6 separate regions of the Mus musculus genome follow, and all the other regions are reported to be linked to region 1. The links are microRNA targets in miRTarBase. Many come from high-throughput screens and were not tested one by one. Region 1 holds a microRNA gene; each other region holds the end of a gene's coding sequence.

Region 1 (5,398 bases):
AGACTGTAAAGACTGTGGTATCAAAATATTACCTATTTATTATTGAAAACAATTTGGTAGATAGCTACACATACTGTGACTCTAAAAATAACCTAACAATAGGAAGTTTAATTTGTACACCCCACGCATTCATCCTCCAAAGTCTAGATCCCCATATGAAGTGATAAAAATTAAATTTGTCATTTATTAGAGAACTTTAGAAATCCTGACAGCCACTTCTACACAGAATTAGTATAACTTCATTTGAAATTAGTATTACTAATTAGCTATCTACTGAGACTACAAATGTAGTTTGGGGTTTTGTTTTTGTTTTTGTTTTATTTGATCAGTTGTTTTTAGGTTTCTCTGTGTAGTCTTGGATTTTCTGGAAACTCACTATGTAGACCAGGCTGGCTTCAAATTCAAAAGATCAGCCTGTGACTGCCTCCCAAGTGCTGGAACTAAAGGCATGTACCACGACAGCCTGGCCTTTCTAAAAAACAAAAATTTAAATTCTTCTTGATTCTTCAGAGTGTTAACATGTATACACAAATATATCCACCACCATTTCTCCCCTCCAAGTCCTTTTATATGCCCCCAACACATACTCCTCAACTCTTTGACTCTTTAAAAATAGCCTACTAAATCCAATTTGTTGTTGCATGGATTTGTGACTGCCCATGAGAAACCTACCAGTTGGGAACAACATGATAAAAGATAATGATTCTCCCTCTCAGAGAAGCTACAACTGCCAAAGACTCCTTAAGATGGGATAGGCCCTGAAGAGCATATCTATGCCAGAAATTTGGCTGGCAAGTTTTATTTTAGTAACCACAGTTGTTTCCTTTACCTTTTCTGGACTGAACCCAGAACTTTGTAGCTATTAAACAAATATTCTAACACTGCACTAAAGTACTCTACCATTGAACTGTATCCCCAGCTCTCTTCTCTTTCTGACTCTAGTTTTGAGTTAAGGTCTCATTTTGTTGTTCAGGCTGACCTAAAATTTACTCTGTAGCCTAGACAGGCCTTGAACCTGTGATCTTACTGTTTCAGCCTCATTGAATAACTAAAATTATAGGCCTCTGCTACCAGGTCTAATTTGTAATTGCCTTCAATACCTTCCAAATTGCTATATCATAACTATTTTAATGTTTGTAATTTCTTAACCAAAGCTAAATTACTTAATGCCCTATGATTTCAGGTCCTTATTTAACAAACAAGTAGGTGGGAGAGATAGCCTGATTTTATCCAATTTTGCATCTATTTATGTAGGTACACATGTGCCACAGCAAGAGTGCAGGGGTCAGAAAACAACTTTCACAAGTTGGCTCTCTCCTTCCACAATGTGGGTGCTATATTGAACATCAGGCTTAGTGGCAGGGGTCCTTACCTAATGAGCTATTATTTCCCAAAACCCTTCTAGTTTTAATACACTAAAAATTTTAAAGCTAAGCATGGTAGTACATGCTTAAAATCACACTGCTAGGGAGATAATGTCAAAGGGGTACTTTTTTTCCTTTTCTTTTCAAAGCTTTACTTATCCTTAGGTTTGACCTTTAATTTGAACCCAAATATTTTGATCTAAAACAAAATGATATGGGCTGGAATGATATGGCTCAGCAGTTAAGAACACTGACAGCTCTTTCCAGAAGTCCTGAGTTCAATTCCCAACAACCACATGGTGGCTCACAACCATCTGTAATGGGATCTGATGCCCTCTTCTGGTGTGTCTGAAGACAGAAACAGTGCACTCATACACATAAAATAAATAAGTCTTTAAAAATAAATAAATAAAAATAAAAAGTAAAAGCACACATTTATAAAAAGCCACATGGTGGCTCACAACCATCTGTAATGAAATCTGACACCCTCTTCTGGAGTGTCTGAAGACAGCAACAGTGTACTTATATATAATAAATAAATAAATCTTAAATAAATAGATAATTAAATAAAACAAATGTAATTGAAGAATTGAATTCCTGGATCAGTAATAGATCCTTGGTACAAAAATTCCTATAAATCAGTTTCATCTAAATTATTGAGTATGACTGCCCAGTAGGAGGAGAGGCATATTTTGACAAGTTTACCAAACAAACAAACAAACAAACAATGAAGGTAAGTTTGTCTGGCATGGTCCTGTAATACCAATACTCCAAAAGCTACAGCAGAAGAATCATGGATTCAAGGCCAGCTTGGAGTACACAATGAGTCTTCACAATATAGGGTAAGGGAAAAAAAAAGCCATCTCAAAAAACAAAATAAACCTACTAAAAGTAATTTTGTTTGTTTTTTTGTTTTTTGAGACAGGGTTTCTCTGTATAGCCCTGGCTGTCCTGGAACTCACTCTGTAGACCAGGCTGGCCTAGAACTCAGAAATCCACCTGCCTCTGCTTCCCAAGTGCTGGGATTAAAGGCGTGTGCCACCACACCCGGCTAAAAGTAATTTTTAAAAAATACCTGTCACGGCCAGGCAGTGGTGGCACACGCCTTTAATTCCAGCACTTGGGAGGCAGAGGCAGGCGGATTTCTGAGTTCGAGGCCAGCCTGGTCTACAGAGTGAGTTCCAGGACAGCCAGGCTATACAGAGAAACCCTGTTTTGAAAAAAACCAAAATATTAAATAAATAAATAAATAAATAAATAAATATTTGTCACATTTCCAACTCTTATCAGTTATAAAATTAACAAGGGGTAATTTTTTTTTTGGTTATTTTACTTCATTAATGTGCTTAGAAGTTCCATTTTAAGTGTTGAACTCAAGGAATTATGTTCAAGAACTTGCCAGTTTCATGTTTGCTTCCACATGCTGAGTTAACGTTCTTTCACATTTTTAAAATAAAAACAAAACGAACACTCATTTCCAATGGTGAAAATAAATTTCAAGCATATAGAGAAGTGGAAGAGAAAGCTTAATCGACTATCTTTAAGTGAACAATCATATGCTGATAATTGTTGAAGCTGGGTAATTGCTCACCTTCACTAGATATTTAGAAGCAAACTCCATTTTTTTTTTTTTCTGAGACAGGGTTTCTCTGTATAATCCTGGCTGTCCTAGAACTCACTTTGTAGACCAGGCTGGCCTCCAACTCAGAAATCCGCCTGCCTCTGCCTCCCGAGTGTCGGGATTAAAGGCATGCACCACCACATAGAAGCAAATTCCAAACATTATTCCTTTCACATTTCAAATGACCTTGGGACATTTGGAAACCAAGCTGTTTATTAATTCTTGGGTAAATCAAGTTCTGAGATTATTTCAGTTACTTTCCAATCCTATTTCAGTTTGGTCCATTTTCTTGACAAGAAATCAGTAGTGGCACTTTCATCTATGATGTAGCTGAAATTCTGCTTCCACCACAAATACATGCTCATTTCTGGATGTGAACAAGTGCTAACAAACCAATATTTATATAGATGCTTTATAATAACATTTATTTATCGCTATAATATATATTATATTATATTATATTATATTATATTATTTATATAAATATAAATTTATATAATAAATATAATAACATTTATTTATTGCTATAATTCAAGCAATTAGTAGTCCAAACTAATCTAGCATATACCTGCACTTTATTTATAACCTGAAAATTTCCCTGAGATTAAAAAAAAAAAGGAAGGAAGGAAGAAAGCACTGTAATCCCTCGGACTCTTGGGAAGTTTCATTTAAAAATCTTTTATATCCCTGGCATAGTGGCATTAACTTATAATTCTAATACTCTGGAGGCTGAGGCAGAGGGATCAACAAATTCAGGACAGTCTGGGCTATACTTTGGGACACTCACAAAAAGTCTTTTATAAGATATTACAACAATGATGGTATTATCACAACTTTCAAAGCACTTATACAATTTTGCATGGACTTTTACTATTCACTATGGACTGAATAGGATGAAGACAGACTAATGAACAGTGTCAGATCACAGCTAGCCATAAGGCTTAAGCACCTGTAGGTGGTTATATTGGTAGGTATATACTGTACCTTCCTACTCTGAAAGCACTTAAAGGGAAAGAGAGTTGGGAATCAGGGACTGGGTGGTTGTTTTGATGGTGGTGCAAGACTTTAATCCCAGCACTTGGGAGGCAGAGGCAGGTGAATTTCTGAGTTCGAGGCCAGCCTGGTCTACAGAATGAGTTCCAGGACAGCCAGGGCTATACAAAATCCTGTCTCGAAAAAACCAAAACAAAACAAAACAAAAAAGACAGTGTCTCACTACCCAGGCCAGACTGGCCTTGAACTTGAGGCTCTCCTGCCTCGACCAATAGAGTAAGTAGTTGGGATTTCCAGGCATGCCTTTATTAGCTACTATGCTATGATATTCTGCTATCAAGAAAGTTGTTCCTTAAAAGTACAGGGTCTTGTCTAACAATCAGATTTTAGAGATGGAAACACACAAGGCAGTTCATTATTGCAGAGGCTTAGAAGAGAATGAAGTGTACAGGAAAAAAAGGTTTGATATTTACTTAAAGCAAAAGAAAAAAAAAAAATTCCCAAAGGCTGAGGATATATTTAGCTCAGTGGGAAAGCACTTGTCCAGGCCCCACTTCTTCGATCCCCAACACGAAGGGAAACCCTTTTCCAATAATTCCATGTCTCCTGCCTGACATTAAACACACAAGTTTGTACTTAAATGACTCTTTTTACCCCTGGCTGATAACAATCCTTCTTGACACCAATAGTTCCTATCTTTTCCAAACACCTAACTAACTACAAGCTCCACAATCTCCCAATTTCAACCTCTTTGGACACTAGTCTTCCCGCCCTCTCAGAGTCAGAGAATTACAAGTAAAGAGTGAACTCGACAAACTGGCTTAACAGAGCCAAATTTGGGATCCAAACGACCGAATAAGAAAAAAGGGGGTGGGGCATTACCTGCAATTCACACCAGGCGACTTCCACAGTGGTTTCGGTGTCCAGACCTTTGTAGACTGTCTTAAAGGAGCCTCTGCCGATTTCGATGTCAAATTTGAGAAAGCGACCGTCATTGGACATTCCCACTGCCTTGGTCTCCAGCTCTTCGATATCATCCTGTTGCTGGCTCCTATCCTCCTGCGCCTCTTTGGCGCTGGCGCCACCACTGCCACTTCCACTTCTGGACGGCGGTGGCTCCTCTTTGCTCCCCACGAGGCTGGGCTGGGACACCGGGCGGTCTTTGCTGGTACTGCTGGGGACGGTCGTGGTGGCCGAGCCTACAACGGCTTGTTCCCCAGGGGAGGCAGCAGCCGAGGGTTGCTGAGACACCTGGGAAGCAACGGTGGCGGTCAAAGTTTCCTCTCTGTGAGGTTCGGGTGGAGCACTCTGGGGCACCACTGCAGGTACACTAGGTTGCGGGATAGAGAGAGGGAGGCCCGGCAGCTCCAACGCGGTGGCATTGGAGTCGCAGATGACGCTTCGGCGGAAGAATCGGTGC
Region 2 (5,398 bases), not on the chromosome of region 1:
ATCAGAATGGTGTCTGCGCTCATCTTAGAAGCTGTTCTAGGGCACCAAGGCCTGACTGTTTGGAATCCTAATTACCAGCTTGGGCTCAGCCCTTCTGCCCACGTTTCAGGAGGGTTGCTGCAGAGTCAAGGGCATTCTTGGCTTATGTACACTTCACTTCTGTGACCTTAGTCACATGTTCAGAGACAGCCAAACAACAAAACAAAACCAAAAGCCCTTTCTTCTCTCCACACAGATTTCATTTTCTGTTGAGTACATCCCCTGAATGGAATGAAAATATGCTGCATAGATAGGTGGCTGGCAGTTGAGTCAGAGCTTCCTCTCATAGGCAATTTGATTTCATCAAGTACGATTCTAATGTGATCCTTACGTAGCAAAGAACTTCGTTCTTTACACAGTACTTAAAGGCAGTTTCCAAGACAGTTATGCTTGTGACCCGAGGGGTGACTCCCGTATAAGCCATGTGTTAGGCTGTTTGCTGTTGAAGCCCAAGGCTCCTGACCTGTGAGCACAGCAGGCCAGCCATGCGTGAGTTTCATCGAGGGGCCGCAGCTGCTTAGGGGCAGTTTCTAAGTTTGGGTAGAGCGTACTTTTCTTATAGACTGTTAGGATAATTGAGTTGATGTGTATTCATTGTCTTTTCATTAGAAATAAAGCTGTTCAACTTGAAAGTGAGCTGGAGAATTTTTCGAAGCAGTTTCTACACCCGAGCAGTGGAGAATCCTAACGGCAGAGGCACTGTAGGAGGAAGCGGACTTGGAAGATGGGAAATGTTACTTTATGAAATGACCTCAGTACAAGTTACTAACTCTTAGTATCGATGCCTTGCGGAGATTGTGGTAATGACCTGTCTCAGGGGTTGCACCTTTGGAAGTGTTGTGATTCGCCTTGTCTTAGCATTAGTTTGGAGTAAAGACTGAATTGTTAAGGTTAAATGATGAATTCCTTTAGAAACAGTGGAACCGGCTGTGCGGCCCCTGAGGGTGGGTCCTGCAGCTCCTCACCAGGCTGGCTGTCTGCGGCTCTCAGAAGCTGCTTCCTGGCATCCAGGAGTTAGAGACCTTTTCATCCTTTCTCAGTGCTAGTTCTTGATGCTTCTTTAATGGGAATAGTGAACTTGTTTATAAGCCGATTTGCTCAAACCAGGGGTGTGGGCTGCTCCTGGGGGGGTCCTGCAATCACTCTGTCCTCACAGCAAGGATGTAACCACTACTAAACAGTTTTTACTTTCTTTTATTCCCATTAAAGCTGATGTGAAATAGTAACGAGGCCTATCATTGTAGCCACGCATGAAGTATTTGGGTCTGCTTTCCTGCTCTCTCTCTTTAGACACATTTTCAGCCTTGAGTCCAGCAAGGAGAGCTTTTCTGCCTAAGTGTGAAGTGGAAGGTCTGAAGGGGTGAAATGGGAGCAGAAAGTGTGTGGAGTGGAGTGGAGTGTGGTGCAGTGACTGTGGCAACTGGTTCTCAGCAGGACACTCACCGAGACCCTGGGCGTGTCCAGGCGTGTCCCCACTGGAAGCTTTGATTTGAATTACATGAATTTCTTGGGCTCTATTACAAATTACCACTCTGGGTTAGTGACATGTTTATAGTTCAGGTATTGATGTTTGATTGACAGTGGTATGGAAATGCTTGTAAATAGCAGACAGGATTATTCTCCACCTGACAATGAAAATTAAAGTGCTAACATTGGATCACTTCAGGAAGTCAGCAGTGCCACCCCAAGGGTTACCCACTGCAGTGTCAAAGGTCAGCACTTCAGGCAGGAGCAGAGGAGTATTTAGTTAATATGGCCACATTGAGGAAAGGGGCAAAGAGATCCAGCAAACTCCCAGTATTTCTTTCCTAAAGGCCTGTCTTCACAATAGGCACACCTATTTTTTGTCTGTCTGTTTGGTTGATTAGTTTTGAGACAGGGTTTCTCTGTGTAGCCCTGGCTATCCTGGAACTAACTCACTTTGTAGACCAGGCTGGCCTTGAACTCAGAAATCTGCCTGCCTCCAGAGTGCTGGGATTAAAGGCATACCCAGCCCTAGATGCACCTCTTATTTTTAAAATACTTGAAGACTATTACAATGTTATATATCATTACTTAGACCATAGAGAAGTTTCTAAAAACCACTTAATTTTTATGTAGATTGGGTGCTGGGTTGCAGTATTCAAATTTAAATCCATGTGACTACCTTTTGCTTTTATTGCTGATTTTTAGTCCCCCAAATGGTACAGGCAACCAAGTGGGACTGGGTGAATAGTACATGAAAAAGTAGTATCTAGAATTGAGGTCTGCTAACCTAGGTTACACAGTTACTTGGAGCACATAATTAGCCAGCTACAGCTTGGTTCTCTGGGTTTGCTCCCGGGATTGTCAACATTATTTTTAAACTTGTAAAGATTTGTAAGGTGTAGATTCTCAACAAGGTATGAATCAAGTTTGGGGTCTGCAGCAAGCTTCAAGTCTGTCCCAGTGTACTCTGAAGTCTGCAAGCCAGTATCTGTAGTCCAGAATGCTTTCCTCACTGATTAAGAATGTAGAGCCAGCTGATGAAGTTCAGAAGTTACGGGTGTTGAGCATGGAGTGTTGAAATGCAGACACTAGCTCTTTTACCAGACAAGAGTGCGCCTGCCACTGGTAGGCTCGTGCATTACAGACTGTAATCATGACGGTTACTGATTAGTTGCTACACACATACTTGATGATTTACTGTGTATGTTTACAGTATTTATAAACTTTGTATGATCTTAAACTTTTTACAAAACATTTTTATAAGTATGCAAGCTTGCAAGATGAAAATAAACCTATCCGCCTATTAGTTGGTAAATATAGCATTTATCTCAGTTAGTGACTGTTTTCCACTCCCTTCAGATATTTTCATGGTAGTCGTGTAAGCTCTCACATGAGGTCCTGTCACTGTGCTGTAGTACTATTGTACATACACTGTATAATAGTGCCTTTGCCCAGTCACAGAAAGTGTGAGATGCCTGGCTCACCACTGTCAGGAGCACAGTTTGAGAAGTCTTCCATGGTAGTTGTGCAGCTGATAAGCACTGAGCCAGGAGGATTCCCTAAACAGAACTAATACAAACATCCTCTACCTTTGGTTTATTTTCAAGACAGGGTTCTCTGTGTATCCCTGGCCATCCTGGAACTTGCTCTGTAGATCAGGGTGGGCTCGACCTGGAATACAAACTTAAAATCTTAATTGTTAATCTTAAAACTGCAATGTGATAATAAATACAAGTATTTAAAAATCTTATGTGATTGGGCTGGAGAAATGGCTCAGAGGTTAAGAGCACTGGCTGCTCTTCCAGAGGTCCTGAGTTTAATTCCCAGCAACCACATGGTGACTCACAACTATCTGTAATGGGATCCAATGCCCTCTTCTGGTGTGTCTGAAGACAGCTACAGTGTACTCACATAAAATAAATAAATCTAAGAAAAAATGGATATTTAAAAAAAATTAAAATCTATGGTATTTTTAAGACTTTTGACTTTTAAGAATATATCGCTAAGGGAGCTACAGGAGAAGGGTGTTTCTTTTGAGGCAGGGTCTTCTCATGGAGGCAAAGCTAGCCTCAAACTTGGGATCCTCCTGCTTCTCTCAGTCTCCCAAGTACTAGATTATAAACCTGGCTCTCGTGCCCCACAGGGATGGTTTACTTATAAATGAGAAATCTGTACCCTTTAACAATAAAGTAAAAGCTAGCTTTGGATCAATAATACTCAATCTCTCCCTTACTGCCCCTTTTTATGAAGGGGGAGGAAAAGGAGGAGGAGCAGGAGGAAGAAGAGAAGGAAGATCAGTATTTAAACACAGGAAGCAGAGCTGACCATTAAAGTACTGAACCTGAGTTTAGTTCCAGGGCATAACTTTTTAAATCTTACTAAAATTTGACTTAAAACAAGGTACAGTGAGCCATGGTGAAAAGCACTTTATTGATTACAGTATGAGCTTGCTGCAACAGTATTTCACAAGCAACTGTACAGATAGAGGGGTGTACCTGTCATGCCTCAGAATACTGTGAACCATGGCATAAGTCCCCAGCTTCTATAGTTAAGCTTTAGGCATGGCTGGCATTCAGTCAGTTGGCTTCATGTGTTGGAACTTATTTTAGGAGGAGAAAAATGCCTCCAAGATACCTCATAGAGAAATACTCAGTCAGGCTTAAAGGCACACTTGAGGTGTGGGCTATCAGTGCCTTCAGCGAGACAAGGATACTCAAGAGCACAATTGCATAAAGACAGAAAAGGACGGGACACCCTGCTGCTGAACCACGGAAGTCCTAGTTACGCCCAGTTGCTATGGAAGAGTCTGTTGGATACATTTCATACTAGTTGAAACAAGTATTTTTCTCATAATGCTACATTGTTACACCTGCTTTACAAAACCAGCTATTTAGTTTGGGGGTAGACATCTGTTGAGTACCTGTTGTAACAAATGAGAAGCAGAAGTGAGTCTGCTGTGTGCTTCACTTTCCAGTCTAATTTAAGACAGTCTCCCTATAAAGGACACTCCCCGGTGGGTGGCTTTTACATTTCTAACTGGCTAAGATGTCATTTTACAACAGTATGCTTTCCACAGTGGCCAGAGAATCAGCACCCGAACACAGTATGTAAGTATTTGTACAAGCCTCGTGTGATGTGCAGATTCTAAAAGTATGTTCCCTATGAAATGATGACAGGCAGGCCTATCTGGGGGATTGCATATTCAGCTTTTCCTAAGCTAGTCAGTAACAAAGCACATTGCAGTTCAAAATCTAAGACGTTCATATCCAGATAATTTCCCTGGATGGTTTCACTTCTGAAATGATGTCTTAAGTTTTACTACTAAGTTTAAAACAGCAACAAGATTAGAGAGTACTTTCAGCAATAAAATTACTTTTTATTAAAATAAAGGGTTTTTTTCCTTTTAAAAGAAAAGGATTCTTTTTAAACTATGTGGGTACAGGTGCCTGAGGAGGGCTTTGGATCCCTTGAAGTTAAAGGCAGTTGTTAGCCACCTGAAATGGGAACTAAACTCAGGTCCTGTGTAATAACACTAAGCAGACTTGACTACTCAGCCTCTGGGATAAAGTTCCCATCTGATAGCCTTGACGAGCTGGCCTCAGCTCTGCACTGTGTTAGCCTCCCAGGTGAAGGATAACAAGCATGCATTGCCACACCTATCTTCATTTCTCCTTTAATAGGTTAAAATTCTTTAGCATTCCAGAAACACTGTGCTACTAAATGACAGCCACTTTAGACTTTTGCTCTTGAAGTGACAGGCCCCAACACTTTGCTTTCATGAGTTTGTAATACAGTACATGTGTGTCATGACTTAAAGTGTTTGCTAGAAAGGGACCTGGGATCTATCACAGCTGCCAAAATGAAGCTTGTTCATCTTAAGGGAGATAGTGAT
Region 3 (5,398 bases), not on the chromosome of region 1:
GGTCCTGAGTTCAATTCCCAGCATGCCATTGCTGGGCAGTAGGGGGCGCAGGTGTTCAACGTGAGTAGCTGTTGCCAGTTTTCCGCGGTGGAGAACCTCTTGACACCCTGCTGTCCCTGGTCATTCTGGGTGGGTGCATGGTGATATGCTTGTTGTATGGAAGACTTTGACTGTTACAGTGAAGTTGGGCTTCCACAGTTACCACGTCTCCCCTGTTTCTTGCAGGCCGGGTGCTTGTCCATTGCCGCGAGGGCTACAGCCGCTCCCCAACGCTAGTTATCGCCTACCTCATGATGCGGCAGAAGATGGACGTCAAGTCTGCTCTGAGTACTGTGAGGCAGAATCGTGAGATCGGCCCCAACGATGGCTTCCTGGCCCAACTCTGCCAGCTCAATGACAGACTAGCCAAGGAGGGCAAGGTGAAACTCTAGGGTGCCCACAGCCTCTTTTGCAGAGGTCTGACTGGGAGGGCCCTGGCAGCCATGTTTAGGAAACACAGTATACCCACTCCCTGCACCACCAGACACGTGCCCACATCTGTCCCACTCTGGTCCTCGGGGGCCACTCCACCCTTAGGGAGCACATGAAGAAGCTCCCTAAGAAGTTCTGCTCCTTAGCCATCCTTTCCTGTAATTTATGTCTCTCCCTGAGGTGAGGTTCAGGTTTATGTCCCTGTCTGTGGCATAGATACATCTCAGTGACCCAGGGTGGGAGGGCTATCAGGGTGCATGGCCCGGGACACGGGCACTCTTCATGACCCCTCCCCCACCTGGGTTCTTCCTGTGTGGTCCAGAACCACGAGCCTGGTAAAGGAACTATGCAAACACAGGCCCTGACCTCCCCATGTCTGTTCCTGGTCCTCACAGCCCGACACGCCCTGCTGAGGCAGACGAATGACATTAAGTTCTGAAGCAGAGTGGAGATAGATTAGTGACTAGATTTCCAAAAAGAAGGAAAAAAAAGGCTGCATTTTAAAATTATTTCCTTAGAATTAAAGATACTACATAGGGGCCCTTGGGTAAGCAAATCCATTTTTCCCAGAGGCTATCTTGATTCTTTGGAATGTTTAAAGTGTGCCTTGCCAGAGAGCTTACGATCTATATCTGCTGCTTCAGAGCCTTCCCTGAGGATGGCTCTGTTCCTTTGCTTGTTAGAAGAGCGATGCCTTGGGCAGGGTTTCCCCCTTTTCAGAATACAGGGTGTAAAGTCCAGCCTATTACAAACAAACAAACAAACAAACAAACAAAGGACCTCCATTTGGAGAATTGCAAGGATTTTATCCTGAATTATAGTGTTGGTGAGTTCAAGTCATCACGCCAAGTGCTTGCCATCCTGGTTGCTATTCTAAGAATAATTAGGAGGAGGAACCTAGCCAATTGCAGCTCATGTCCGTGGGTGTGTGCACGGGTGCATATGTTGGAAGGGGTGCCTGTCCCCTTGGGGACAGAAGGAAAATGAAAGGCCCCTCTGCTCACCCTGGCCATTTACGGGAGGCTCTGCTGGTTCCACGGTGTCTGTGCAGGATCCTGAAACTGACTCGCTGGACAGAAACGAGACTTGGCGGCACCATGAGAATGGAGAGAGAGAGAGCAAAGAAAGAAACAGCCTTTAAAAGAACTTTCTAAGGGTGGTTTTTGAACCTCGCTGGACCTTGTATGTGTGCACATTTGCCAGAGATTGAACATAATCCTCTTGGGACTTCACGTTCTCATTATTTGTATGTCTCCGGGGTCACGCAGAGCCGTCAGCCACCACCCCAGCACCCGGCACATAGGCGTCTCATAAAAGCCCATTTTATGAGAACCAGAGCTGTTTGAGTACCCCGTGTATAGAGAGAGTTGTTGTCGTGGGGCACCCGGATCCCAGCAGCCTGGTTGCCTGCCTGTAGGATGTCTTACAGGAGTTTGCAGAGAAACCTTCCTTGGAGGGAAAGAAATATCAGGGATTTTTGTTGAATATTTCAAATTCAGCTTTAAGTGTAAGACTCAGCAGTGTTCATGGTTAAGGTAAGGAACATGCCTTTTCCAGAGCTGCTGCAAGAGGCAGGAGAAGCAGACCTGTCTTAGGATGTCACTCCCAGGGTAAAGACCTCTGATCACAGCAGGAGCAGAGCTGTGCAGCCTGGATGGTCATTGTCCCCTATTCTGTGTGACCACAGCAACCCTGGTCACATAGGGCTGGTCATCCTTTTTTTTTTTTTTTTTTTTTTTTTTTGGCCCAGAATGAAGTGACCATAGCCAAGTTGTGTACCTCAGTCTTTAGTTTCCAAGCGGCTCTCTTGCTCAATACAATGTGCATTTCAAAATAACACTGTAGAGTTGACAGAACTGGTTCATGTGTTATGAGAGAGGAAAAGAGAGGAAAGAACAAAACAAAACAAAACACCACAAACCAAAAACATCTGGGCTAGCCAGGCATGATTGCAATGTCTACAGGCCCAGTTCATGAGAGGCAGAGACAGGAAGACCGCCGAAAGGTCAAGGATAGCATGGTCTACGTATCGAGACTCCAGCCAGGGCTACGGTCCCAAGATCCTAGGTTTTGGATTTTGGGCTTTGGTTTTTGAGACAGGGTTTCTCTGTGTAGCCCTGGCTGTCCTGGAACTCGCTCTGTAGACCAGGCTGGCCTCAAACTTAGAGATCTGCCTGACTCTGCCTTTGAGGGCTGGGACGAATGCCACCACTGCCCAACTAAGATTCCATTAAAAAAAAAAAAAGTTCAAGATAATTAAGAGTTGCCAGCTCGTTAAAGCTAAGTAGAAGCAGTCTCAGGCCTGCTGCTTGAGGCTGTTCTTGGCTTGGACCTGAAATCTGCCCCCAACAGTGTCCAAGTGCACATGACTTTGAGCCATCTCCAGAGAAGGAAGTGAAAATTGTGGCTCCCCAGTCGATTGGGACACAGTCTCTCTTTGTCTAGGTAACACATGGTGACACATAGCATTGAACTCTCCACTCTGAGGGTGGGTTTCCCTCCCCCTGCCTCTTCTGGGTTGGTCACCCCATAGGACAGCCACAGGACAGTCACTAGCACCTACTGGAAACCTCTTTGTGGGAACATGAAGAAAGAGCCTTTGGGAGATTCCTGGCTTTCCATTAGGGCTGAAAGTACAACGGTTCTTGGTTGGCTTTGCCTCGTGTTTATAAAACTAGCTACTATTCTTCAGGTAAAATACCGATGTTGTGGAAAAGCCAACCCCGTGGCTGCCCGTGAGTAGGGGGTGGGGTTGGGAATCCTGGATAGTGTTCTATCCATGGAAAGTGGTGGAATAGGAATTAAGGGTGTTCCCCCCCCCCCCAACCTCTTCCTCAGACCCAGCCACTTTCTATGACTTATAAACATCCAGGTAAAAATTACAAACATAAAAATGGTTTCTCTTCTCAATCTTCTAAAGTCTGCCTGCCTTTTCCAGGGGTAGGTCTGTTTCTTTGCTGTTCTATTGTCTTGAGAGCACAGACTAACACTTACCAAATGAGGGAACTCTTGGCCCATACTAAGGCTCTTCTGGGCTCCAGCACTCTTAAGTTATTTTAAGAATTCTCACTTGGCCTTTAGCACACCCGCCACCCCCAAGTGGGTGTGGATAATGCCATGGCCAGCAGGGGGCACTGTTGAGGCGGGTGCCTTTCCACCTTAAGTTGCTTATAGTATTTAAGATGCTAAATGTTTTAATCAAGAGAAGCACTGATCTTATAATACGAGGATAAGAGATTTTCTCACAGGAAATTGTCTTTTTCATAATTCTTTTACAGGCTTTGTCCTGATCGTAGCATAGAGAGAATAGCTGGATATTTAACTTGTATTCCATTTTCCTCTGCCAGCGTTAGGTTAACTCCGTAAAAAGTGATTCAGTGGACCGAAGAGGCTCAGAGGGCAGGGGATGGTGGGGTGAGGCAGAGCACTGTCACCTGCCAGGCATGGGAGGTCCTGCCATCCGGGAGGAAAAGGAAAGTTTAGCCTCTAGTCTACCACCAGTGTTAACGCACTCTAAAGTTGTAACCAAAATAAATGTCTTACATTACAAAGACGTCTGTTTTGTGTTTCCTTTTGTGTGTTTGGGCTTTTTATGTGTGCTTTATAACTGCTGTGGTGGTGCTGTTGTTAGTTTTGAGGTAGGATCTCAGGCTGGCCTTGAACTTCTGATCGCCTGCCCCTGCCCCTGCCCCTGCCCCTGTCCCTGCCTCCAAGTGCTAGGACTAAAAGCACATGCCACCACACCAGTACAGCATTTTTCTAACATTTAAAAATAATCACCTAGGGGCTGGAGAGAGGGTTCCAGCTAAGAGTGCACACTGCTCTTGGGTAGGACCTGAGTTTAGTTCCCAGAACCTATACTGGGTGGCTCCAGGTCCAGAGGATCCAGGACCTCTGGCCTCCATGGGCATCTGCTCTTAGCACATACCCACATACAGATACACACATAAAAATAAAATGAAGCCTTTAAAAACCTCCTAAAACCTAGCCCTTGGAGGTACGACTCTGGAAAGCTGGCATACTGTGTAAGTCCATCTCATGGTGTTCTGGCTAACGTAAGACTTACAGAGACAGAAAAGAACTCAGGGTGTGCTGGGGGTTGGGATGGAGGAAGAGGGATGAGTAGGGGGAGCACGGGGAACTTGGGCAGTGAAAATTCTTTGCAGGACACTAGAGGAGGATAAATACCAGTCATTGCACCCACTACTGGACAACTCCAGGGAATTATGCTGGGTGAAAAGAGAAGGCCCCAGGTATTGGCTGCATTGGCTGCATTTGCGTAACATTTTTTTAAATTGAAAAGAAAAAGATGTAAATCAAGGTTAGATGAGTGGTTGCTGTGAGCTGAGAGCTGGGGTGAGTGAGACATGTGGACAACTCCATCAAAAAGCGACAGAAAGAACGGGCTGTGGTGACAGCTACCTCTAATCTCCACCTCCGGGAGGTGATCAAGGTTAGCCCTCAGCTAGCCTGTGGTGCATGAGACCCTGTTTCAAAAACTTTAATAAAGAAATAATGAAAAAAGACATCAGGGCAGATCCTTGGGGCCAAAGGCGGACAGGCGAGTCTCGTGGTAAGGTCGTGTAGAAGCGGATGCATGAGCACGTGCCGCAGGCATCATGAGAGAGCCCTAGGTAAGTAAGGATGGATGTGAGTGTGTCGGCGTCGGCGCACTGCACGTCCTGGCTGTGGTGCTGGACTGGCATCTTTGGTGAGCTGTGGAGGGGAAATGGGTAGGGAGATCATAAAATCCCTCCGAATTATTTCAAGAACTGTCTATTACAATTATCTCAAAATATTAAAAAAAAAGAAGAATTAAAAAACAAAAAACCTATCCAGGTGTGGTGGTGTGCACCTATAGCCACGGGCACTTGGAAAGCTGGAGCAAGAGGATGGCGAGTTTGAAGGTATCTGGGGCTGTACAGCA
Region 4 (5,398 bases), not on the chromosome of region 1:
CCCAGCAACCACATGGTGGCTCACAACCATCCATAATGAGATCTGATGCCCTCTTCTGGTGTGTCTGAAGACAGTTACAGTGTACTTACATATAATAAATAAATAAATCTTAGGAAAAAAAACCCACACACATACAAAAAATATTTCATTCATCTGCTTAATAATTGTCCAGGGGTCTACCTTAGGCCATTCTGGCACGTGCATGGGGTACAAAACCCCTCCCTTATAAACCTCACATTTTATTAGTGGAAAGTGGGGATTCCCATAAGTGAACAGTTATTATTCAAGAAGGAAAACAAAATTTCTATTTCAATTCCTGGCCTTGCATTCTGATCTATACGCTGCTTGCCCCTCCCAAGTGCTGGGATTATAGATGTATGGCACTGTGGCCTATGAGAACTAAGTCTATTTTGAGGGGAAAAGCAAAGTAGGGATACCGGCCCTACTGGTAGAACTGGATCCATCACAAAGCCAATAAAAACATGGCTCTGCCAGCTGCTGGCAGGTAACAAAGAAAAGGCCAGTGGAGGAGACAGGGGAGCTTAAGACAGTCTGGATGTGGGAAGTTAATGTGTGCTAAGGGTGGCACACCACAGAGCCCCGGAGGAATTTGTCCCAGGTGGTGACAGAAACTAGTTCACCACTGGGAGAAGAAAGGTGGGTCTCTCTCTCTACTTGAAACTATGTAGAAGACAGACTTCAAATGGTTTGAAGACTGAAATGTGAAAGTTAAAATCATAAAGTTAATATAAGAAAATACAGGATGGCCGAGAGGTTGGCTCAGTGGGCAAACATACCATCAGTCTGGACCCATACAGCTGAAGGGAAGAATACACTCCCACGGGCTGTCATTTTATCTCCAAATTCAAGCCAAGGCATGCATGTGAGGATGTGCTTGTAACTGCATTTTTGTACACTGATTTTCACATGCGCGCTTGCGCAAGCGCACACACACACATACACACAATGTACTTTAAGAAGATGAGGCTGGGCATGGTGGTGCATGCCTTTAATCTCAGCTCTCCAGAGGTGGAGAGCAAGTGGATTTCTTTGAGTTCAAGGTCAGCCTCACTAACTCAAAAGGATGAAGCTAGGCTGCGTTTCATGAGACGATGCCTCAGAATAAAAACAGAAACAAACGAAAATAAATTTAATTTTTGTGGTTACATGTGATAGAGAATAAAAGTATAATTTAGGACTGGGTATAGTAGTTCATGCCTGTAATCCCAGCCCTCTGGAGGTCAAGGCAGAAGGACTGCCTCAAGTTCAAGGCTGGCCTGGGCTGGAAAGGAAGACTTTGTCTAGTACAGAATAAACACAGAGATTAGAAACAGAGGGAGGCTACACACTAAGGAGCAGTGTCTGAGTGATTGTACTAACACACAGTGGCAGCCTGTCCTAGTTTGCTTTGTTGCTGTGGTAAATACCATGGTCCAAAACAACCTGGGGAATAAAGAAAGGGCTTGTTTCATCTCACAACCCCCCAGGTTACAGCCCCTCAGTGTAGGAACTTGGAGGGATAAATGCAAGCAAAGACTGTGAAGGAATACTTTTTCTCCTCCTCCTTCCTCTTTCTCTCCCCTCCTCTTCCTCCTGTTCCTCCCTTTCTCTTCCTCCTCTCCTCCTTCCTCTTTCTCCTCTTCTTCCTTTCTCTTCCCACCCGCTCCTTTCTCTTTCTCCTCCTCCTCCTTCTTGTTATTGTTTCTCAAGACAGGGTTTCTCTGTGTAGCCCTGGCTGTCCTGGAACTCACTCTGTAAACCAGGTTGGCCTCGAACTCAGAAATCTGCCTGCCTCTGCCTCCCAAGTGCTGGGATTAAAGGCGTGCGCCACCATGCCCAGCTCATTTTGGGGTTCTTTAAAAAACTTTTTTAGACAGTTTCTCACCTGGAACTCTGTAGAGAAGGCTGGCCTCGAACGCACAGAAATCTGTCTGCTTGTCTCTTGATGCAAAACCCCACTCCCACCTGGGTCTTGCTATATTGTCCAAACTGGATCTTAAGTTTCTGGACACAAGTGTTCCTCAGACTTCAGCTTCTCTGGTTGTTGGGACAAATGAGGACAAACTATGCCTTGCTTGATAGTCTGTGTGTTTGTGTTTGAGTGGGATTAGTCAGGGAACTTGTACATGAGTGGTATTAGTTATAGATCTTGTGCATGCTAGCCAAACAGTCTATACTGGACTACAATCCATTCCTCTGAATGACAAACTAAGATCCAAAGTGAGTTATGGCCAGGCTTGTTGGGCACAGGCATTTAACCCCAGCACTCAGGAGGCAAGAGGCAGGCTGGAGCTATGTGAATTCAAGGCCAGCCTGGTATACAAAAAGTTCTGGAACTTACTCTGTAGACCAGGCTGGCCCCAAACTTAGTGATCTGTATTTCTCTGCCTCCTGAGTGCTGGGCCACCATGCCTGGCTGAGAAAAAAATAAATTTTTTTAAGTTCCAAAACCTAGCAACCACAGTGTACAGGCAGTGGTTTGTAGACCTCCACAGCTACACATGCAGGTGTAGCAAAAATAGAACCATCTCTGGTATTTTATTGGTTTTAAAATGTTCCATCAACAAAAATGTCCTTTTCCTCTGTGTGTGTTTGAGTGTGCCTGTGGTTTGAGACAGGATCTTGCTGTCGCTCACGCTGACCTGGATTTTGTGATCCTCCTGTCTCAGCCTCCCCATGCCCTGATAACAGGATGGCTCAAATATACTACTTTCATGAAAGATTAAAACATCTCTACAAAGAATAACTGCAAGGGACCGGGGCTGTAGTTCAGGGGATAAAACATTGCTAAGCAAACACACAAACCTGAGTTCAGGTCCCGGGCAGCAGCTGGAGGCAGTGACTGGCTTTTGCTAACCCTGCTGCTGCAGGGAGGGTGGAAAGAAGAAAGCTAAGGGGCCCCTGGCTGGTGTCTAGATGAAACTGAGCTGCAGGCTGTGAGAGATCTCATCTGGAAAGGAAAGGTGGATAAAGGAGCTTGCTGCCAGGCCGGACAACCTGAGTTCCACACTCAGGCCCCGGATGGTGAAAATACAGAACTGCTGGAAGCTGGCCTCTGATCCCATGTGCACAGAAGCACATGCACACGTGAGACCTAAAGAAATAACTGTAATCTAAAACAGAAGGTAGATGAGCCAACAGTAAATTTCACTAAGGCTGTTGGTAGGATCCTGGGTAAGACTCCTATAAAAAAGAAAGTGGACTGAAAGTTTTCCTGGCAGAAAAAGAAAAAAAAAGAAAAAGAAAAAGAGAAGGAGAAGGAGAAAAAGTATCTGACTTTTCAAATCTAAGACTATGAGCCTTTTGTCTTTCTTCTCTGTGTAGCCTTGGCTGTCTTGGAACTTGCACTGTAGACCACAGGTCTGCCTGCCTCTGCCTCCTGAGTGCCAGGACTAATGTTAATGGCATGCACCACCAGCACATGGCCCTTTTCTTGCCTGAACATGTCTGTGTACTGAGTGTGTGCCTGGTGCCTGTGTACTTCAAAAGAGAGCATCCAATCACCTAGAACTGGACTCCTACGGAAGGTTGTCAGCACTCAAGGATGTGTTGGAATTAAGCCTGGTCCTCTCTGCAGGAGCAGCCAGTGCTCTTTAGCAGCTAAGCCACCTCTCCATCACCAGCTACTTGAATGTTTTTGATTACATTTGTGTGTGGGTGTGCACACATGTGGGTGCAGGACTCAACCAATCCTGTGGAGAAACAGGACGGCAACAGGCAGGAGTCGGTTCTTTCTTTCTCCCATGTGGGTCCTGGAGAGGCCCCCACAGCATACACAATAACAACAATAGTAAGACAGAACTATAGCAATATAGAAGTAGACTAGGAAGGAGTTAAGACGAGTAAGAATCAGAATCACAACTGAGTCTTTTCAGTCTTTATTACCACACAATGCTGGCTCACACCACCATTGTAAACCTTGTATATCAATGGCAAAACAACACAATTTAAAACATATGAAGAAAACAACAAATAAATAAAGGAATAAAAAATGTTTCTCTAAAAAAAACAAAAAAAAAACAAAAAAAAAAAAACAAACAGCCGGGCTTGCGTGTTATCGCACGCCTTTAATTCCAGTACTCGGGAGGCAGAGGCAGGTGGATTTCTGAGTTTGAGGCCAGCCTGGTCTACAAAGTGAGTTCCAGGGCAGCCAAAGCAACACAGAGAAACCCTGTCTTGTATTGAAAAACAAAACAAACAAACAAACAAACAAACAAACAAAAAACAAAAAAAAAAAACAAAAAAGAAAAGAAAAGAAGAGAAAAAAGAAAAAAAAAGCAAAATATTATGAGTTGTTTTTTGACCTTTCCTCTGAAAAGCTAATTTATTCCAGTTCCCTCTTTTTGAGTGGAGGGAGGACTTGAACAAATCTCCATATTATCCTGGGTCTTTCATTGGAAAAGCCTATCAAGAAGATGAACAGTCAGGTTTAATAAGGACCTTGCAGGCACTTAGGCGGGAAGTACAGGGTCCTGAGTTCCAGGGTAGCTAGTTTATGTAGTGAATTCCATGGTAAAACCCTGTTGCAAGAAAAAAGAGACATTACCAAGTGAAGGAAACAGTTGAAAGGAACCAGGTCTCGCCATCATCTTCTGGAAGGAAGTGGGCCCGGCTGGCAGCAGTACCTGGGCTACTTTCGAAGTCTCTCACCTCCCAGGTGGGGACAGGCCTAAAAGGCCGACAAACTTTCTTCATCACATCAGCCTTTTGGGGTCTATTTTTTCCAGGTGAACCAGAGGTTTGAGCTGCTCTGCAAAGTTCCTCATGTCATCAGAGACCATGTCCTGCCCAGCCGGGGCGACAACACTTAATTCCACAAGATAGGAGAGGGACAGGGCCTCGGTGCTGTCCGTGTTCCCTGGGACCAGGATTCGGAAAATCTTGTACACCACAACCTTCATGATGCCCTTCCGAAACAGGTGTCCTTTGGCGACAAACTCATGGTCCATGCGGAAGCCCATCTCCATCAGGAAGTCCGTGAGGTTCTCAGACGTGGCGATGTCCACACAGTTGCGCACCAGGGCGTGGCGGTTCTTGTCTCCCATTTCGGGCTGTCCCAGGTATCGCAGATGCCAGGGTGCCCCTGCCCTGTCCATGGAGCGCCGGGCCCTTAGGACGAACGGGCTGGCCTGCTGGCCCTTAAGCAGGAAGACCATCTCGTGATCAAGGAAGGTCTCAGGCTCCATGTTGTCACACAAACCTCGGAGGCGATGGATGAGGCTTTCCAAACTGTGGTCCAAAACACTTCCTGAAGAGGCACAAGCACAGTGAGTCCCGGCTTTCATTTCATTTAGGGTCATGAAACCAGCGAAAGATACACACACCAAATAAATAGTTCTATGCAACGTTTTCTAAGAACAATCCATGGGATTCTATTTATTTGTCTATTCAAAACGTT
Region 5 (5,398 bases), not on the chromosome of region 1:
ATTTCATATTATAAAAATTGCCTATTTTAATATTCTTTAGTTATCGAGATTAATATCTATTGTTACCTCAAGTTAAATATAATTGACCTCGAAATTTTAAGCATAGTATTTTTCTCTCTTGCAAAAATTAGAGTTGCAACATTCATTTCTTCCTTTTGTTTCCTCAGGTCTCATCTACCATTTGCAACTGACCTCTTCTGCAAAGGACTTCAGAAACCTAGCACTACCCTGGCTCTGCAAACACGGTTCTCTAGGTGAAGCCTCTGCAGTGGTTTGCAGAAGTACTCAGACGAATGAACCACAGTAGTTCTGCTGATTCTGAGGACGTAGTTTAGAGACTGAATTCTTTGGAAAGGACATAGGGACGATTTGCACATTTGCTTGCACATCACACACACACACACACACACACACACACACACACCCACACACACACACTCTCTCTCGATACCTTAGGATAGGGTTCTACCCTGTTGCTCAGTGACAAAGAATCACTCTGTGGCGGAGGCAGGCTTCAAGCTTGCAGCAATCCTCCTGCACCAGTTTCCTGAGTGCCAGACTTCCAGGTGTAAGCTATGGCACTTAGCAGAACACTAGCTGAATCAATGAAGACACTGAGGTTCCAAGAGGGAACCTGAATTATGAAGGTGAGTCAGAATCCAGATTTCCTGGCTCTACCACTCTTAACCTGTATCTGTTAGACCCCAAGCTCTGAGCTCATAGACAAGCTAATTTAAAATGCTTTTAATAAGCAGAAGGCTCAGTTAGTACGGGGTTCAGGATACTGCTTACTGGCAATATTTGACTAGCCTCTATTTTGTTTGTTTTTTAAGGCCTACTGACTGTAGTGTAATTTGTAGGAAACATGTTGCTATGTATACCCATTTGAGGGTAATAAAAATGTTGGTAATTTTCAGCCAGCACTTTCCAGGTATTTCCCTTTTTATCCTTCATGTCCTTAAAAGAAACCAGAGTCAACCAGAATTAACTGCTTTTGTTGTCTAAGATGAATGTATGCCTTTTATACTTCAAAGCAAAAGTCAAGTTGGAGGCACAGTTCGTAACTTACTCGTTCATATTGAACTTATAATGAATGTCTTTAGGCAACTTTGCCCTTTTACACAGTTCTTGATATAGTTCTTATTTCAAATGAGATTATTTACTGAGTAATCATCTGTCCTCACATAAACAACTTAAGTGATACTAGCCTTACACAGAACTTCCTCAGATTCCTGGAAGTGGCTTTTGCTCTTTGGTATAGATCTGCTACAGTGGAATTGAAAAATAAAATGTACGTTAGACACACTTGCCTGTAATCCCTGCACTCAGTATACTGAGGCTGAAGAACTGAATTCCAGGTAGCATGGCCTGGATAGTAAGATCCTGTCTGAAACCCACTCCTCCATCAATGTGCCCCAAAGAAATGGAAAACAAGAAGCAGCTAACTGCTGCTTCTATACTGAAGGTTCCCTTTTCTCTGAGATGTAATCCACAACCTACAAGACCAGCAGTGAGCTTAAGTCAAGACAATCAGATATTCTAGTCTGAATTTATAGGAGGACATCGAATGGCAGCCAAACTTCTCAACGGGACCAGAATCTGTTGTATGCCCAGGAAACAGGTCCATTTTTATGTGGGTGCTCTCAGAACCAAGCCACTAAAGAAAACAAAGTGGTGGACTGACAAAAAGCTAACAAGACATTGAAAGCCACACCAAAGAAAAACCAGGAGGGCGGGGGAAGTAAGCTGCAGCATTTAATCAGTGGTGATCGGGCTCACCACGAGACTTCAAAAACAGTTAGTGACAAAAAGGATCAATCAAAGGGAAACTTAGAAAAGTAAGTTATGTTAAATTATTGATTACATTTGATAAGCGTTAGTTGTTTTTTTTAAGATTTATACTTTTTATTATTCAGGTGTTTTCTTTTGCTAAAGTAATTTTTAAAAACTGTTTAGTTTTATAATTTTTAAAGATTTTTGCCTATGTTATTATAAATAAAACAATGAACAGAATGGATATTTGCTAATTTGTCAATTTATAAGTGGGGTAATTATGAAAGATATTAATTTATGAGTATGGTTCTAACACATAATTCACTGCGCCAATATACCAGTGCAGAGGCCTTTCCTTACAGCTATATTTATTATGACGTAGGCACTGTGTTAAAATTTTGGTTGGGAAAAAAAAAAATCACATACACACACACACCCCTTCTCCCTTACCACACTTACCAACACAAGACTTTCGTAGCCACCCAAACTGTGGGAACTTCCCCAGCCAGCCAGGAAGCAGGTCCTCCTGAGTGGACACACAGTGTCACTAGTTCTGCTCATCATCTCCCCAGGGGAACGGCTCATTCCCATAACTGACCACCTAGCTACAAACTGAGCTGGAGTGACTCCTTGGTAAGGAATCTGTTTGATGAGCACATCACACGGTGCAGGGAAGCCTACTTACTGGTTTGCTGTAAAAGGCATTCCCGTGAAGACATGTATCGGGTGAAGCCCAGGCAAAGTGCAGATATTCCATGCCCTCCCTAGTGCTTGCCTCTGGGAACCAGCAGCATCCAGCGCTAGCCCTTGGGTTGTCATGGAAACGTCACCTGAAAGGTGATTCAATCTCTGGCACTGGGTGAGCAGCTCACTTCAAAGCTCACCTCCCTAACTAGAGGCTGTGAGTTAGGACTGACAGTGCCTGATCTGTGCTCTACTAAGAACTTCTAGGTGACCAGGCCTCATCCCTAAGAGGTAGCCAGCCATCATACACGTACATAGATACTATCACTTGTGGGTTTCCAGGATTTGGGAAGTTGTATGTCAAAGACTGCAAATATATACTTAACAATATCACACTTTAATAACTCCACTAAAAACTACTCTCAAGAATATACTACTTTGCTTAGTGAAAACTCTTGAGACTTTAAAGTACAACGGGGCTGAGGCTTAACTCACTGGCTGAGTGAATGCCTAGCTTGTACTAGACTCTAGGCTCAGCAGATGGCTTTGTTGTAAGTCACACAGCTGCTATGCTTCAGGCTAAAATGGAAAGCGAGAGGTTTACTCCTGGAGTCCTTGGCTTTCAAGACTGCACTATACTGTTCTTTAGACCTTGTTTAAGAGTAGAACCAACTTACCAAGAGTAAGTCCAACTCCAAAATAAAATGCTAGCGGTTTCTTCCCCACCATCCTATCGGCAGGATGCAGTCCAGGACCTCAGTGGATGCCTGAGGCTCTATACAATACAGGATCCTCAACATGGTGGTAATGCTCACCTTTCTGCTTAAAGGGTGCACTGCACAGCTTGCCTTGGTGCATGTCAACTGTTAGTGGCACTCCTCATGCGCTTTGGAGTCATTATTAAATGACATTATTTGAACACAAGCACTGTCATTCCACACACTCAACCTGATTACCAAGGCGGACAGAGAATGGGAAATGCCAGAAGAAGGGATTCGTTCTATCTCAGGAGGCAAGGTTCCATCATCCCATCTAGAAATGTACAAAATTTAAAACTGAGCAACTGCTTAGTCCTGGGATCTTCCATTTAATGTTTTCAGACCATTAACTGCATGTTAGTAAAATTGAAAAAACACACCCAAAGGCCAGAAAAGTGCTGCCTGTGACTCGGTCTTGCACTTTCTCCCATTCTGTCCATAGCTGAAATCTATAGGACGGCTTCTCTCAGGCAGCCAGCTCCTTACTGTGGGGACAGCATGTCGCATCTTCTGTGTCCTGCAGCACAGGTGCTTTGTTGGCAGTGTGGGGGCGGAGACTAAGCTGGATCGCTTCTTTACTGATACCCACCTGCTTCCAGTTTGTTAAACCACGTTTAAATGGCAAGGAATCACCTCTTATTCTTATTTTAAAAAAAAAATCCAAACAACTAAACGTAGAGGCTCACACTATCCACTGTCTGAGGGCCCGAGGAAGAGGGTCTCGCGGACATGCTCCTCCTCCAGTTCCTTCAGGTCCTCCAAGAGAACACTCTTCAAAGACTGAGGCATGATTAGGCGATCCAGACAACACAATTTAAATCTTTTGGGAAGAATTTTACTTGTACAAAATCTAGCATGATAGAGAAATATGAAATATTTAGATGGATCAATGATCGGAATAAATAAGAATATTTGGGTTGCTTTTTGGTTCTGTTGTTTGGGTTTTTTTGTGGGTGCACATTTTTTAACCAGGTTCTCATTAAGTAGCTCAGGCTAGCATCACACTATCTTCCTTTCTCAGCCTCCCAAGCTTCTGGATTTACAGGTCAGTGGCACCCTGAGTACTGGGTGCCTAATTCTGGATGTAATAAAAAGATCGGAAGCCATGTGGTGATGCGTGCCTTTAATCCCAGCACTCGGAGCAGAGGCAGGTGGATTTCTGAGTTCGAGGCTAGCCTGGTCTACAAAGTGAGTTCCAGGACAGCCAGGGCTACACAGAGAAACCCTGTCTTGAAAAACCAAAAAAAAAAAAAAAAAAAAAAAAAAAGAAAGAAAGAAAGAAAAAGATCAGAGACAAGTGACCGCTAGCACAGCTTCCAGCCCTCACATCAGTCAGCGGGCTGGCAAGGAGTAGCGGAGTAGCCTGGCACTGGCGTTCCCAGACACAGCCCCCTGGTCCTCAGTGCTTGCTTTGTTGATGTGGCGATGAAGGGTTCCTAGGGAGGCTTAGCAGCTCCTCAATCCTCTGAGCGTCTCCCTCAGGCTGAATCTTCTCCAAGCCACTTTCAATCTCCATCGGGAGGAGCTCAGTGACTTGCAGACTGCTTCTCCTACAATCAAAGGATGGACACGCGTCAAGTGCTGCTGTAGCACGTCTGTACAGAGACTGCGAACAAAGGGGCAGGGTCTGCCACACCCTCCCTGCTTTGCTCTGATACTTATGAGCAATGGTTCCCGCACTCACAACACAGACTTGCTTCTCTCTTATGCTGCTCCCCTTTCAGTCTAACCCTGATTTCCAGTCCAGTACCAACACGGACTGGACAGCTACCATATTCTGGGAGACTGCCCTGCAGCTCTTCCATGAGTAATGAGCCTGTGCTAAGGCTTACATATCAAAGCTGGGCTGCCCTCCTGCCCTCCAGACCTGAGGCTCATGAAGACCATGCAATAATGATCTAGGTGAAGTCATATAGGATAACTCTACAGATACTTATTTAGGAAGAGCAGAATCATATACATATTTATGAAAAGTAGAATCAAATTTCTAACAGATCAGTTCTTCTCCTAAATAGAATCTTAGTATCTTTGTTTATCAAGGCCACCTACAACTTAAATCTCAACCCAATCCAATTTGACCACTCTGCAACCCCACCTATGTCTAGTCTTCTATAGTTTCTGCTAGGACAATTTTAAAAACCATTTCTCTATATTATTTTTAAGCAGAGGCACAAATATAAAAA
Region 6 (5,398 bases), not on the chromosome of region 1:
TACTGCTTTACCACTAAGCTTCCTCCCTAAGTCTCTTACTTTTTGTTTTGTTAATTAGGCAAAGTCTCCCCAGATTGCCCTAACTGTCCTTGAACTCACTCTTAGAGTCTAGTTTGGCCTTAAACTTGAACTTGATCTGAGTCTTCCGCCTTAGATCCCCAAGAGGCTGACATAATAGGCCTGGTGCATCCCTCACAGCCTGACAGTGCATATGCAGCCACACTCCCACACTGGGCTCATTCCCAGTGTCCATTTCTGTCCACCCTGATGGACGGCCCTGGAGAGCTTGGAGGTCCCAGAGCGGGCTCTGCCATGTCTTTTCCGTTCCCCTTTGCTGCCAGCCCCGCTTCCTCAGGTTACACATCTGTCCCCAGGGAGCACCCTGCACAGGCACCTGCTCTAGCCACACTTGACCTGTGGTTTGGACGTGAGCCCAGCCTTGTGGGCTCTTCCCCAGCAGTGTTGATTTTGCCATTAAGTCTTGGTCTCTGTGTGATACTGGACGGCCAGCTGGGAACTCACAGCAGGGGCCATTTGAAGTAGCAATACCTGAACATATGGGCCCCTTTCCCTATACCAAGATCAGGAGATAAATATTAATAGGTACATTTTTTACTTGAAGTTTACAGATCAAATAATAACTGTAGGATATAAAGCACTTTTGTTTACTTGGTTTTCACCTGTGCCGATGAGATAATGCCAGAGCCTGAGGATCTCTGGGGGCAGGTGTACAGGTCAGCGCCCGAGTGTGACCATGGAGCCTCTGTGGGAGCCAAGCACCTGTGTGTGCAGCCCTGCAGGTTGTGGGAAGGAGGGGAGACAGGGCAGCACAGGAGGGCACCAGCTATGCTTCCTTTTCCTGCCGTTCTGGTCTGCTCGCCTCCATGCTGGCACTCTCTGGGTAGTCGGCTCTTAAATCTGACCTGCGCTGTTATGTTGCTTCTGTCTGGACATAGGCAGCAGTGAAGACGGAGACAAGGACTAGTTGGCTGTAGACACTCTCCCAGCCAGCAGCGCTCCTGCTTGTCCACCTGAGCAACGCAATCCACTCCATGCTGACTGGCACCAGACAGTGAGCGGCTCAGGAGTGATGGAAAGCGGGGCCACCACGCCAGGAAGCAACTCCCTCTGCAGCGCTCGTCTGCCCGCTCGCCTGGGCTGCTCCTGCACTCGTGCTGGGCATCCTGCCGAAGTGGCCACACTGCCACACTGCTCTGGCTCACGAGTATTGGAGGACCTGAGCACCTCAGGCCGTGGGTCTGTGTGGGGTGTGTGGGTGTGGATGTCTGCCTCGCCACAGGTGCCACAGAGGGGCAGGCGCACCAGGGGAGGGAGTGCTCACAAGTGAGCCATATTTATTGTCTTTAGGAAATCACTAATTGCTCTTTGACTGCACTGTGGGTGAGTGTTCTGAGCTCCCAATATTGTACAGCATCGTAAATTATCCAAGGAAGATATGGCAGGCCAAGCTGGTGCTGACCGCTGGTTTGATTTTCTTTTTTGTTTTTGTTTTTGTCTCTGTCTCCTTGGGTGTCTGCTCTGCATGGCACTGTAAAGCTTCGGTATTTTGAGTGTTCTTCTTTCTTAGACCCACCCGCGGGAACCGTTCACAGGTACCCTCCCTCGGGCCCTTTTGATTCTGGGAGTTAGGTTGTGTTTTATGTTCTTAGAGGACATATTTTTGATGAGGCCAAAACTGCTGTTCTGTTTCGTTGATTGCATCGAGCATGTTTCTATATAAGGTGGGTACTCTGAGCAGCCTGCCCTGCCTCTCGTGCTTTGAAATTCTTTTGGTAGAAATCCCTGAAGAGGTGCACCCATCACTCAGTGCCCAGGGTCCTTTTCTGGCGAGATGAGGCCATGCACCACTTGCTCAGCACAGAGGCCAGCTTGCGGGAGCTCTGCGTCTCAGGCAGGTGGGACCTCTGAGACACTGGTCCCCACAGAGCTGTAAGTGAGAAGAGCAGTTTGTCCACTCTGGGTGCTGCTGAGGGAGCTGTTTGGGAAGAAGCCATCCCTGGCCATAGCCCCCAGGATACAGCCAGCCCCTGTAGCTGCAAGTAGCAGGGCAGAGACCCCAGCAGGGCCTCCAGCAGCCCTCATGGCCCCTTTCCTGTACCAAGCACCCAGCTCTCCTCTTGTTCTGAAAGGGATTTCACATCTTCAGCGTAGCTTCAGTACATCATCGGAGGAGTCTGCTGTCCCTAACACAGAGGGAGACCTCGCTTTCCTACCCCAAGCAAGTATTGGTGGCCATGGCAGCGTGGCGAAGCCATGCTGGGCGGGAGCTGCACCTGCTGGCGTGGCTCTTCTCACTGAGCTCCTCGCCCCAAATATCCCGGTGCTGCCCCTGCTGTCCAGGCTCCAGTGTGACAATGGGTTGAGTCTCCAGGCCCTGGCCAGGACATCCTGCTATCAATCAGAAGGACTTGGACTCTCCTGCAGAGTGCAAGTGTGGGTGTCGGTGTGAGTTCACCTAACAAATCATGACCTTTATCATCAACTCTGATTCGATCCATGCGTTTTTTTTATACTAAGCAATAACTTTACGATCAACAGAAGAAATTTTAAAACAGAGTCTCCTTTTCCCATCCTTGGTGCAGACTGTGCCTGCCTGGACTCCGTAGAAAGCACTGGATTTTGTGACATGTATATTAAAAACAGGGCATTTCAAAGTAATTTTGCCAAAATTGTCATAACTGAATTTTTGCTGTGTGGACTTTCTGATTTTTTTTTAATTATTTTTTTACCTCTATCTACCAGCTTTAGTTGAGAAAGAAAGGAGGTGTAATTATAATAAGTTTTTTTTGTTTTTTTTTTTCAAATTACAGGTTTCAGAAGTTGAGATTCACTGATTACAGTCAGGTGGATCCATATGTGTAGCCTCCTTTCGCAGCCAGCCTGGGATAGAGTTACTGACATTTGAGGGCTGGCCATCTTTCACCATGCTGAGGGGATTTTAACAATACAATTCCCGTTTATATTTATATCTATATTGTTCTCATGGTAAATTGCCAAAATAAAAGCATTTTATATATTGAGTTGGGGTGGGGGTGGGATAGATCTTCTGTGTCGTTGCATGGAAGGGAAGACTTTGTATAACACGCATCAACACATCCTCCCCAAATCTCAAGCAATAGACAGAAATCTCAGTAGACTAAACTCCAGCCCATTTTTTAAATGTGAGCATGTGCTTTGCCATCCAGTGTGGGTTTTGTTTTGGTTTAGGTTTTGTTTTTTGTTTTTCAAGATAGGGTTTCTCTGTGTAGCCCTGGCTGTTCTGGAACTTGCTGTATAGTCCAGGCTGGCCTCAAACTCAGAGATCCACCTGCCTCTGCCCCCTGATGCTGCCACCATACCCAGCTGGTTTTATCTTTTAATGATAACTTAGGTGCCCTTGGTGGGCTTTCCAAACCTGGTTACTCAACGTTAGCAGTGAAGCGAGCCGGTGGTGACTGTGGCTGGAATGTGGTGGGCTTGGTGACTTTTCTTTCTGCCCTCCCTTGAGTGCTCACCCTCCACCTACCAGACTGGAAGCTGACTTTAAGTCCTCTAATAAAAATAATGAGCCCTCCAAGTCCCTCTTGATAGCTTCTATTTGTTAGAAGATGACCTAAGTCAGAAAAAAGTAGTTCCCCCTTCCTGAGAGACTCTGTCTGGGCCAGAAGCCATTCATTGAAAGGTTGCGATGGCAACCAGCCTCCAGCCATGCAGGCCTGTTTTTAGAGAGATGGGTCTCTCTGAGGAGGTCTGTCTCCCTGCTGTACAATGCCTTTTAAACCTTCCCCTTTTTCCATACTTCCCATAGGGCATTTGTAGAATTAGTGACCCACTGCATGTCTGTCCCCAAGGCCGGGAAAAGAGACAGGCAGCTCCTCAGCCTGAGAACGCCGCCGATGCGACCAAGTGTCAGGCTCTATGTGCCATGCTTCAGAGTGCCCACCTTGAGAGAAGCCACCTTGTAGTCAGAGTGAGCAGACACAGTTACGTCAAACATACATCTCAATATTTCTTAAGAAGCAAACGGGGGCACCAGTCTTGGCTTTTAGGAAGCTCTGTTTAACTTACACATAAGTTCTTAAGATGTGTTGGCAGTATTGCGTCACCCACGGCCGTCCCGGGGGCTGAACGTGTGGCGTTTGGTTACTGAAGCCTGCTCAGGCGAAGCTGGGTCTTGTGCATGTTCCCACTGTTTCATCCTGTCCTCGCCAGGGATCTGGGTGGGACAGTCACACCCACGGCCTGCTACCCACCAGGTTGTACTTAACGCAATCAGAAGGGGTTCATGGCAATATAACAGTTAATGAACTTGGAGTTTAAATTGTGTACATTTTTAAATTGTAAGATTTTTACTGTATATTGAAGCTTAGTGTGATTCAATAAATTGCTTGTAATTTAAAAACTATTTAATATTCAAAATAAATATAGTTATATATTTATAATAATCTCTGTTGCTACATTTACTCCTTGTTTTTTCCATGTGCGGGTTTGGCCTGGTGCTGTGGATCTCTGAGCTCCCCGTGGTCCTAAGGCACGAGGGTGATTGTCAGGGGACTGCAGCGTCTGGTGCGTGTGTGGTTGTGGGCTCTGTAATCCAAGCCTTTCTACTTACTGAGGAGTTGTAGCGAGATTTGGCTTATAAGGATTTGGCCTTGGCCCAGGCCCCACATGCTACTCCAAGAGGTCACAGCCAGCCTTTCTGTCTGGGAAATGGCTTATTTGCTGAGAAAACCTATGTTCTGTTTCTAAAACCCATGATGTTTAAAATCAAAAGGTCGGGTAGAGTGGAGCCAGTATGCCTGTCGTCTGGTTCTGGGGTAGCAGAGGCAGCAGACCCTGGGGCTCACTGGCCAGCCTAGCACTCTAGGCCAGTGGGAGATCCCGCCTCAACAAAACAGAAACCGGTGCCCCGAGGATGACAGTTGATGTTGAACTCTGACCTTCACACCTTACACTTGTGGACATGCACGGGTACCACAAAACACACACACACCCCAAACAAAACAGCCTTTCACTGGGTTTGGCATGGTGTGTGCCTGTAATACCAGCAGATGGGTGCTGAGGCAGGAGGATTGCCATGTGTCCATAACAGCCCAGGCTCTGGTAAGGATGAGGTCCTGTCTCAAAAAGCAGTAGCAGTTGTATGCAGTATGGGGGTGTCTCAGTTCCCCCCGCCCCCAGTCCTTTCATTGAAGTCCAAATGACATGAGGGAGGTGACAGCTTTCTACCAGAACCATGGCCCACATGACTGTGTCACAAGTACTGAGACCCAAGCCTGCTGAACTTAGCCAGAGCTATGCAGAGTCCTGGCTGAGTTGTTTAGACCTGTCCTATTAATGGGGGGGTGGGGGGGAGACACACTACTATTAGTTGAGCCTAGTGACCAGTTACCCTTAT

What was found. Region 1 holds the annotated microRNA mmu-miR-706 (AGAGAAACCCUGUCUCAAAAAA, at 2,277-2,298, opposite strand). A microRNA usually pairs through its seed, bases 2 to 8, with sites in the 3' UTR of a target mRNA and lowers its output. Matches are read on the target gene's strand: a 7mer-m8 pairs with bases 2 to 8, a 7mer-A1 pairs with bases 2 to 7 and ends in A, and an 8mer does both.
Region 2: the mRNA of Mfn1 is a reported target of mmu-miR-706. Seed matches in the 3' UTR shown: 7mer-A1 at 1,072-1,078 and 7mer-m8 at 1,920-1,926.
Region 3: the mRNA of Dusp3 is a reported target of mmu-miR-706. Seed matches in the 3' UTR shown: 7mer-m8 at 2,573-2,579, 7mer-m8 at 3,368-3,374 and 7mer-A1 at 3,710-3,716.
Region 4: miRTarBase lists Med18 as a target of mmu-miR-706. Seed matches in the 3' UTR shown: 7mer-m8 at 4,164-4,170.
Region 5: miRTarBase lists Timmdc1 as a target of mmu-miR-706. Seed matches in the 3' UTR shown: 7mer-m8 at 4,433-4,439.
Region 6: miRTarBase lists Lmtk2 as a target of mmu-miR-706. Seed matches in the 3' UTR shown: 7mer-m8 at 3,256-3,262.

The regions. Positions count from the first base shown.
Region 1 is chr6:120,032,014-120,037,411 of GRCm38, forward strand. Mir706 (microRNA 706) reads right to left here and starts at 2,298; the gene lies at 2,215-2,298. Wnk1 (WNK lysine deficient protein kinase 1) reads right to left here. Exons shown (of 28, transcript NM_001199084.1): 1 at 4,861-5,398.
Region 2 is chr3:32,576,415-32,581,812 of GRCm38, forward strand. It overlaps Mfn1 (mitofusin 1), which reads left to right. Exons shown (of 18, transcript NM_024200.4): 18 at 649-2,811. The coding sequence ends at 727. It overlaps Gnb4 (guanine nucleotide binding protein (G protein), beta 4), which reads right to left. Exons shown (of 10, transcript NM_013531.5): 10 at 3,918-5,398. Among named protein-coding and RNA genes, the nearest start is that of Gnb4, 37 kb to the right of the region's middle.
Region 3 is chr11:101,969,767-101,975,164 of GRCm38, reverse strand. It overlaps Dusp3 (dual specificity phosphatase 3 (vaccinia virus phosphatase VH1-related)), which reads left to right. Exons shown (of 3, transcript NM_028207.3): 3 at 226-4,022. The coding sequence ends at 431. Among named protein-coding and RNA genes, the nearest start is that of Sost, 5.5 kb to the right of the region's middle.
Region 4 is chr4:132,454,866-132,460,263 of GRCm38, forward strand. It overlaps Med18 (mediator complex subunit 18), which reads right to left. Exons shown (of 3, transcript NM_026039.3): 3 at 3,864-5,248. The coding sequence ends at 4,695. Among named protein-coding and RNA genes, the nearest start is that of Med18, 6.4 kb to the right of the region's middle.
Region 5 is chr16:38,494,319-38,499,716 of GRCm38, forward strand. It overlaps Timmdc1 (translocase of inner mitochondrial membrane domain containing 1), which reads right to left. Exons shown (of 7, transcript NM_024273.2): 7 at 3,525-4,765. The coding sequence ends at 4,615. It also overlaps a transcript of Cd80 not described here. Among named protein-coding and RNA genes, the nearest start is that of Gm41453, 14 kb to the left of the region's middle.
Region 6 is chr5:144,183,760-144,189,157 of GRCm38, forward strand. Lmtk2 (lemur tyrosine kinase 2) reads left to right here. Exons shown (of 14, transcript NM_001081109.2): 14 at 957-4,449. The coding sequence ends at 985. Among named protein-coding and RNA genes, the nearest start is that of Bhlha15, 3.8 kb to the right of the region's middle.